Linked DNA regions of Sus scrofa. The protein of the gene in region 1 purifies or fractionates together with the protein of each later gene. This does not show direct contact. Links are inferred from orthologs where the notes say so. Each region holds a gene or a part of one and is shown on either strand. Other genes may lie near its edges. The genes, in order: NUP85 and NUP37.

Region 1 (3,817 bases):
ATGAGGTGGCAGGTTCGATTCCTGGCCTTGCTCAGTGGGTTAAGGATCCAGTGTTGCCGTGAATTGTGGTGTAGGTTGCAGACACGACTCAGATCCTGTGTTGCTGTGGCTGTGCTTTAGGCTGGCAGTTACAGCTCCAATTAGACCCCTAGCCTGGGAACCTCTATGGCCGTAGGAGCGGCTCTAGAAAAGGCAAAAAGACCAAAAAAAAAAAAAAAAAAAGTATACATATATATATATATATATCTTGTTGATTCATTAGCATTGAACTCATGGCCAACAGCCCTGTAAACCTTGTCTGAATGAAGCTCATCTAACATGTATATTCTGACATGATACATGGCACGTTATAGCCTTCTTTGCACTTAGCACTGAGCGGCACTTCAGCACAACGCTTGGGGGCCCAACAAAACGCATGAAAATGTAAAAAATACGGCGCTAAATAGATCGCAAAAAAGATACTTATTTAGTGTGAGAGCTGATACCAGAAGGTGGAACTCCAGTTGTTCAGCCTCAGCTGGTAACGTGTGTATCAGGTGACTCACATTTGTTGCCCCTTTCTGGGCACATGTCCAGAAATGATGGTGAAAGCACCTCAGATATTGACTTGGGGGTTACAAATAAATTTCAGCAGGCAGCCGTCTGCACAGATACGGAATCTGACTGGAGAGGCTCAGTGGTAATAATGTTGATTGTATATGTGCATGTATGTATGTATTTGAACTCAGAGTTTTATGAACCAGTACTTTATTTGATGCACTTGGAATTTTTTATTTTATTGTGCTTATTTTTAAAAAGTTACAACCTCAGTGGGTTACATGTGTGGTTTGAGAAGCATGGTACAGGTTCAAACTGTGAGACTCAATGAATCCGATTACCTCGGGAGCTTCTCCAGGGCTAGAAAGCCAGAGTCTGGGCTTAGGGGACTGGCTTCTGAGCCTGCCGTGAACGTGTGTGTCCTTGGGTGTCCTCCAGGTGACCATCCTGGTGCTGCAGGGCCGGCTGGACGAGGCCCGGCAGATGCTCTCCAAGGAAGCCGACGCCAGCCCCACCTCTGCAGGCATGTGCCGCGTCCTGGGGGACCTGATGAGGACAATGCCCGTTCTCAGCGTATGTGGGAGCGGCTGGCCTCTCCCGGGTCCTGGAGATGGGGTCCTGCAATGAGAATAAGGGGTCGTGTGCTGACGGGCTCGCTCTGTGTCTCTTGCCGTAGCCTGGTAACACTCAGACGTTGACCGAGCTGGAGCTGAAGTGGCAGCACTGGCACGAGGAGTGCGAGCGGCACCTCCAAGATGGCACATTCGCCTCCAGTCCTCACCTCGAGTCTCTTTGCAAGGTCTGTGGGAAGCAAGTCCAGGTCGGGGCCCAAGCTGGCTTTCCCTGGGGACCGCAGCATCCAGCGCAGCAGCGGCAGGAACTTGGTCCTTGGACAGGGCTGTCAGCTGCGTCTGGAAGGAGAGAGCTTTCAAAGCTGGTGCTGCAGCCGAGATCAGGAGGTGATGTAGCAGTCTCGCCCAGAGCTAAGGAGTCGTGTCTCTCTTCTCAGATCATGCTGGGAGACGAAGCTGCCCTGTTGGAGCAAAAGGAGCTTCTGAGTAACTGGTACCATTTCCTAGTGACCCGGCTCCTGTACTCTTGTCCCACAGTGAAACCCATGGACCTGCACTGCTATGCCCAGGTGAGCCTGCGCTCCCCGGAGTGCGCCTGGGGCATAGGAACCCTGAGGTGCCGCCCCGCCCCCGCTGGGTCATTTTCACCCCTTGGCCTCTTGGAGTTGAACCCCCCTGGAGAACAGGAAGGGGCTTTCCTTGGGCGCTTTTTGCAGGACCCCGTCACCCTTCCCCAGGGTGCCTTACCCAGCAGCCCTGCCTGCCCCCTTGAGTCTCTGCTGGCATCTGGGGATTGAATGGGTCACCCCCTTTCCACAGTCCAGCCTGGACCTGTTTCTGGGAGGTGAGAGCAGCGCAGAACCCTTGGACAACATCTTGTTGGCAGCCTTCGAGTTCGACATCCACCAAGTGATAAAGGAGTGCAGGTAGGCCCTGCTGCCGCCGCCGGCGGTACGGTCCGCGCGGGACCGCCCTCGCAGCCGTCCTCGCCTCCAGTGCCTCTGCTTGCTGGTGTCTCAGCTTTCTTCCCACAGACCTGCTGCCCCTGTGCAGCCACATGTGGGCAGGTCATGGCTTCTCTCTGGAGAGCTTGGGGCCCTTCCTGAGGCTTGACGGCTCTTGTATTTGTAACAGTTTCCATTTCAGGGATGTTTACTTAACATAACGTTGCAGGAAATTCCTTTGATATTTAAAACCTAGAATTAACAGACACTAAGCGGATTCTTGGAACCCAACGAACATGCAATCACCGTAAGGGACGGAGCTCTCAACAGTCTCACTCTCTGGTGAGCCAGGGTACCACACCTTCGGCCCTTGATTGGGTCTGTTCAGAGCAGGGATTCTGCATCAGCCCGCTCCCCAAAAGGGTATCTTGTCATTACACTGAACCTTCAGCAAGGCAGGAAAGGAGTGTGAAATGTGATCCAAGGTAGAGCTTTCCAGAAATTTGCACGTTGTAATAAGTCAGAATTTACCTTCCCGGAGTTCCTGTCGTGGCGCAGTGGTGAACGAATCCGACTAGGAACCATGAGGTTGCGGGTTCGGTCCCTGCCCTTGCTCAGTGGGTTAAGGATCTGGCGTTGCCGTGAGCTGTGGTGTAGGTTGCAGACGCGGCTCGGATCCCGCGTTGCTGTGGCTCTGGCGTAGGCCGGTGGCTGCAGCTCCGATTCAACCCCTAGCCTGGGAACCTCCATATGCCGTGGGAGTGGCCCAAGAAATAGCAAAAAAAGACAAAAAAAAAAAGAATTTACCTTCCCTTGTGCAGTCTGGAGAGTGGCGTTGCACCAGTGACGCCCAGAAGAAAGCTAGGAACGCAGCAGGTGGCCTTGCTCACGTATCAACTCATTGACCTTGACTGAACCTACTTTTTTTGGTAAATCAGGGCAATGGGAAGGGTTCCCCACCTGCTGCCATCTCTTCCTGTTTTGGCCAAAAGAGAGCCAGGGCTTCAAGAAAATGCTCTTAGATTTGGAGAAAGGAAAACGGGTTTTGTGTCAGCGTTCTTTTCAGAGACTTACAGAGACTTTAGTTGGTGCCTGAAGACAACTTCAAGAGTTTGGCTGATGGCGGTGGGGGTGGGGGTGGCATCTGCCTGGAGCGGGTAGTGACAGTAACTTAGAAAGGCACACACGTCATTATTTCACTTTGTCAGTGTCTCTGCCTATAGTTTAAAGCAACAGTCTTGCCCGACGCTTGTCTGTTAGTGGCAGTGGGTTATTTCCTCCTGGGCCTCCTTCCTAAGCCACATACGGCTTTTAAGGAACAAAACAGAGTTGAAAAGAACGAGGAGAAGAATAATAAAAAGGGAAGGTACTTCGTTCTTTTCAGTGGCAACAGAAGGAAAAGCTAGAGAAGTGTCAACAGAGAGGGTGGCTTTTGTGAATCCACAGGTTACGGCATCACTCCAACGCCAGTCGCAAAGGAGGAAAGGTCGGCTTGTAGCCCCTCAGTCTGGGCGCCTCTCTGCCCCGGCAAGTAGGACAGGGTCTGAAGCTTCTGTTGGCACTGCATCTAGGAGCTTGGGCTTACCTGAGCAGGAAGCCATCTCCTAGCCCATTTCGAAGGAGGCCCTGAAAAGCGCGTCGCGGGACCTCATCCCACGGTTTGGAAGCAGGGCCGAAGTCTCTTCGGAGGGTGTTAGAGGCGGAAGGACTGGATTTGGGGTCTTGTGGGCATGTGCTTTCTCTTGGGTTGTGCCGGTCAGGCCC
Region 2 (3,817 bases), on another chromosome or scaffold:
ACTCTTTTCTGAATGCTCTACTGGATAGTAGTGAATTATAAGGCTTACTATTCTGACTGGTTTAAAAAAAAAAACATTCCAGGTCTTGAGAAGGCTCCAAGAAGTGTTACTTCTAATGCTTTAGGTGGCTCTTTTCCTGGCTTCTAGCAGTTTCTTTCCAGGCTGATCAGTACTTGGCTGAAGGCTCAAGGAGATCCTCCTGTGACTCAGATCTTGAACCAACCAAGGGTGACTTCCTGTACTACCTGATATCCATGTTAAAAAACCATTACTTCTACGTTTTGTGTGTTTAATCTTTTTCAGCAGGAGGGTAAACCTAGTCCCTGTTAAGCAATGTTAGCTGGACTTGGCCAGGGGATCCAAGCCAGCCAGTTGGGTTCTCACTCCTAGAACTAGGATTCTGCCATGTGGACAGGAAGCCACAAGAAGTTAGTGTACAGGAAAGAGTGAAATGAAGCAAAGAGGAGCAAAGAAGGGTGGAAAGAGGGTTTCAGAGAGTAGGTTCTTGTCTCATTGCAGAAAGAATTCAAAGATATCACATGGAGGTCAAACAAGCAAAGTGAGAATTTACATGCTCAAGGGAAGAGTGAGCAGACTGAGATGAGTAGCTGCCCTAAGCTTCTTGGATAAGCTGGCTATGTCGGGTGTGAAAATGAATGGGCAGAATATTCATTGAAGAGAGAGGGGTTTGAGGTCATTTTTCTTGGTTTTTATCCCAGATTCACCTTCTCCCATGCTTTTACCTAGGAGTTCTATAGTTTCAGGTCTTATGTTTAGGCCTTTAAATCATTTTGAGTTAGTTTTTGTAGATGGTATAAAGGTCTGACTTCATTCTTTTGAATGTGGGCATCCATATTCAAAATTTCCCAACACCATTTATCCTTTCCCATTGTCTAGCCTTTACACCTCTGTCAAAGGTCATTTGACCATACATGTGAGGATTTGTTTCTGGGTTCTTTACTCTGTTCCACTAGTCTGTATGTTTGTCTTCAGGCCAGTATCATACTTTTTTGATTACTGAAGCTGTATTTTTTTTTTTTTTTTTTTTTTGGTCTTTTTCTAGGGCCCCACCTGCGGCACATGGAGGTTCCCAGGCTAGGGGTGTAATTAGAGCTGTAGCTGCTGGCCTATGCCAGAGCCACAGCAATGTCAGATCCGAGCAGCATCTGCGACCTACACCACAGCTCACGGCAATGCCAGATCCTTGACCCACTGAGCGAGGCCACGGATCGAACCTGCAACCTCATGGGTCCTAGGTGGATTCGTTAACCACTGAGCCACAATGGGAACTCCTGAAGCTTTATGTTTTTAAGTCAGTAAAGATGAGGGCTTTAGTTTTGTTTTTCTTTCTCAAAATTGCCCCCCCCCCATGATTTTGATAGAGACTGTACCGAATCTGTGGATTGCTTTGGGTAATTTAGACATTTTAATAAAATTAAGTCTTCCAATCCATGTACATGGGCTGTCTTTCCATTAATTTGTGTCTTCTTTCATTTTTTCCAGCAATGTTCTATAGTTCTCACTATAAAAAGCCTTTTGCTTTTCCTTTCTTGGTTATCTAGTGAATTCTAAGAGTTTATATAAAAGGCTACACTCTACATTAGTGCATAGTTTATTTTGTATTTCTGTGTATATACACAGTGCATAAGAATGTCATATCATCTATAGAAGGCTGAATAGTGGTTCCCAAAGATATGTCCAGTCCTAACCCCTAGTACCTGTTATAGCCTCTCTGGAATTAGGATTTTGCATATATAATTAAGTTAAGGATCATAAGATGACCAGACTGGATTTAGAATAGGCCTAAATCCAGTGATGAGTGTCTTTATAAGACCCAGAAAAGGAGAAACACAGGAAAAGATATGTGAAGACAGAGGCAGAGACTGAGGTGATATATCAACAAGGCAAAGGATGTAAAGGATTCCCAGCTGCCAGCAAAAACCAGGAGAGAGGCCTGGAATGGATTCTTCCTTGGAGCCTCATGAGAGACTAACCTTGCTGACATCTTGCTTTCTGATTTGTGACCTCCAGGACTGGGAGACAATAAATTTCTGTTGTTTTAAGCCACCATATTTCTACCAACTTGTTACAGCAGCCCTAGGAAACGAATATACTATCCTAAACCATATATACATACATGACCATTTCATTAAATAGCTTAAAAGATCCTGGGTATCAAATTATGCCCCCAAACCTGAAATATTTTACCAAGTAGATTTCCATTTCATTAGCCAGCTCAGCCTAGTCTCACCACGTCCTAGGACGGCACTCAAGCGGACCAGGTCTCGGTTTCCTTTTTTCATAAATGAAATTAGTTTACTTCTCATGTCCTTTCATAAATCTCAGTTCATAAATGTAAGCACTCTATCAATTATGGGTTTTTTTTTTGGTCTCTTTAGTGTTTGGTAACAAACCTTAAATAAACTGACATGCTACTGCCTTTGTGAAGAAGGCCTCAGAAAGCGTGTTAAGATTTTTCAAAAAACAAACAAACAAACAAAAAAACAAAAAACAGTCATTCTTTTCAAATTTTTTCAACAAACACTGAAGCCCAAGGATCAAAAATAGAGTTTTATGCATTGTTAAATACGAAAATGTGACCTTGGCCTATGTATGAGGCATTAAGATTGATTAATAACTCAACCAAATTAATTAATTAATCAATTAATGGCCACATCTGTGACTACACCAAAGCTCATGGCAATGCTGGATCCTTAATCCACTGAGTGGGGCTAAGGATCAAACCTGCATTCTCATGGATACTAGCCAGGTTCATTACTGCTGAGCTATAATGAGAACTCCTGTTACGGTTTGTTTTTTTTTTTTTTTTTTGGTTTGGATTTTGGCCTCATCCACTGCATGTGGAAGTTCCCAGGTCAGAGATCGAACCTGCACCACAGCAGTGACCCAAGCTGTTGCAGTGAAAGCAGAGGATCCTTAACCAGCTATGCCACAAGGGGACTACCAAATTCAGTTATTTTAAAAGAGTTGTACTTTCAATAAGTGGTAAATTCAGTGAAGAATCTATAAAGATTTCAAATGATCCATATGAATCTCAGAAAAAAGAGCTATGTAATTAGGCTTAAACACATGTTCAAGGTATCACTGTTATGGTTATATATTTAAATCTCAAATTCAGACAAACGCCTAAATTATGAAATAATAGCAAATGTTAAAGTCAAAAATACCTGGAGTTGGAGAAATGGAAGAAAAAAGTCCCTAAGATCAAAGGCTTCAGATCAGTTAACACAAAGGACATTAATAAATGCTGCATTTAATAATATTAAACTTACTTGATTACTGGAGGCAATGAATCAAGTCTAGTCTCTGGACTCCAGGCTATGCCGTCGACCCTGACTCCATGCTGAAATGTTCGTAGTGTTTTATAGTGAATTCCTTCAATGTCTGCTTCTTCCTCCTAAGCATACACAGTAAATGTTTTAATAAGTTATGAGAACAAGCAATATCAAATTCTATATTTTATTATAATGAGGAATTTATCAGGGGGCTGTAAATATTTTTTTGAGAAGTTCAAAAGCAGATTAGATATTAAGGTACAACTGGTTTACTGAACAATAAGAATAAAAACATCCAAACCTGTCTAAGCCTCAAAAAATAATTCTATAAGGTAACTAAAAACAAATAAACATGTTATACCTTATCTTAGGAGAGATTTTATTCTAATAGTAAATACATTTCACAGCAAACACAATAAAAGGGGAATGCTCTAAGGATCAGAATATTCTAGGTAAATGAATTAGCATACATGGGTTATCGAGTGACAATATAACAAATACACACTGAACATAAAGTTTTA

Evidence for each region.
Region 2: the proteins of NUP85 (region 1) and NUP37 purify together in Homo sapiens (affinity purification with western blotting; 4 studies listed by BioGRID and IntAct, with this or other methods). This does not show direct contact. The link is inferred for Sus scrofa from reciprocal best matches to the Homo sapiens genes NUP85 and NUP37.

Annotation. Positions count from the first base shown.
Region 1 is NC_010454.4:6,083,291-6,087,107, reverse strand, and holds part of NUP85 (nuclear pore complex protein Nup85), read left to right. Parts: intron 1-975; coding exon 976-1,110; intron 1,111-1,213; coding exon 1,214-1,336; intron 1,337-1,546; coding exon 1,547-1,678; intron 1,679-1,928; coding exon 1,929-2,035; intron 2,036-3,817. UniProt on the Homo sapiens protein: Essential component of the nuclear pore complex (NPC) that seems to be required for NPC assembly and maintenance. As part of the NPC Nup107-160 subcomplex plays a role in RNA export and in tethering NUP96/Nup98 and NUP153 to the nucleus.
Region 2 is NC_010447.5:82,104,687-82,108,503, reverse strand, and holds part of NUP37 (nucleoporin Nup37), read right to left. Parts: intron 3,419-3,817; coding exon 3,294-3,418; intron 1-3,293. UniProt on the Homo sapiens protein: Component of the Nup107-160 subcomplex of the nuclear pore complex (NPC). The Nup107-160 subcomplex is required for the assembly of a functional NPC.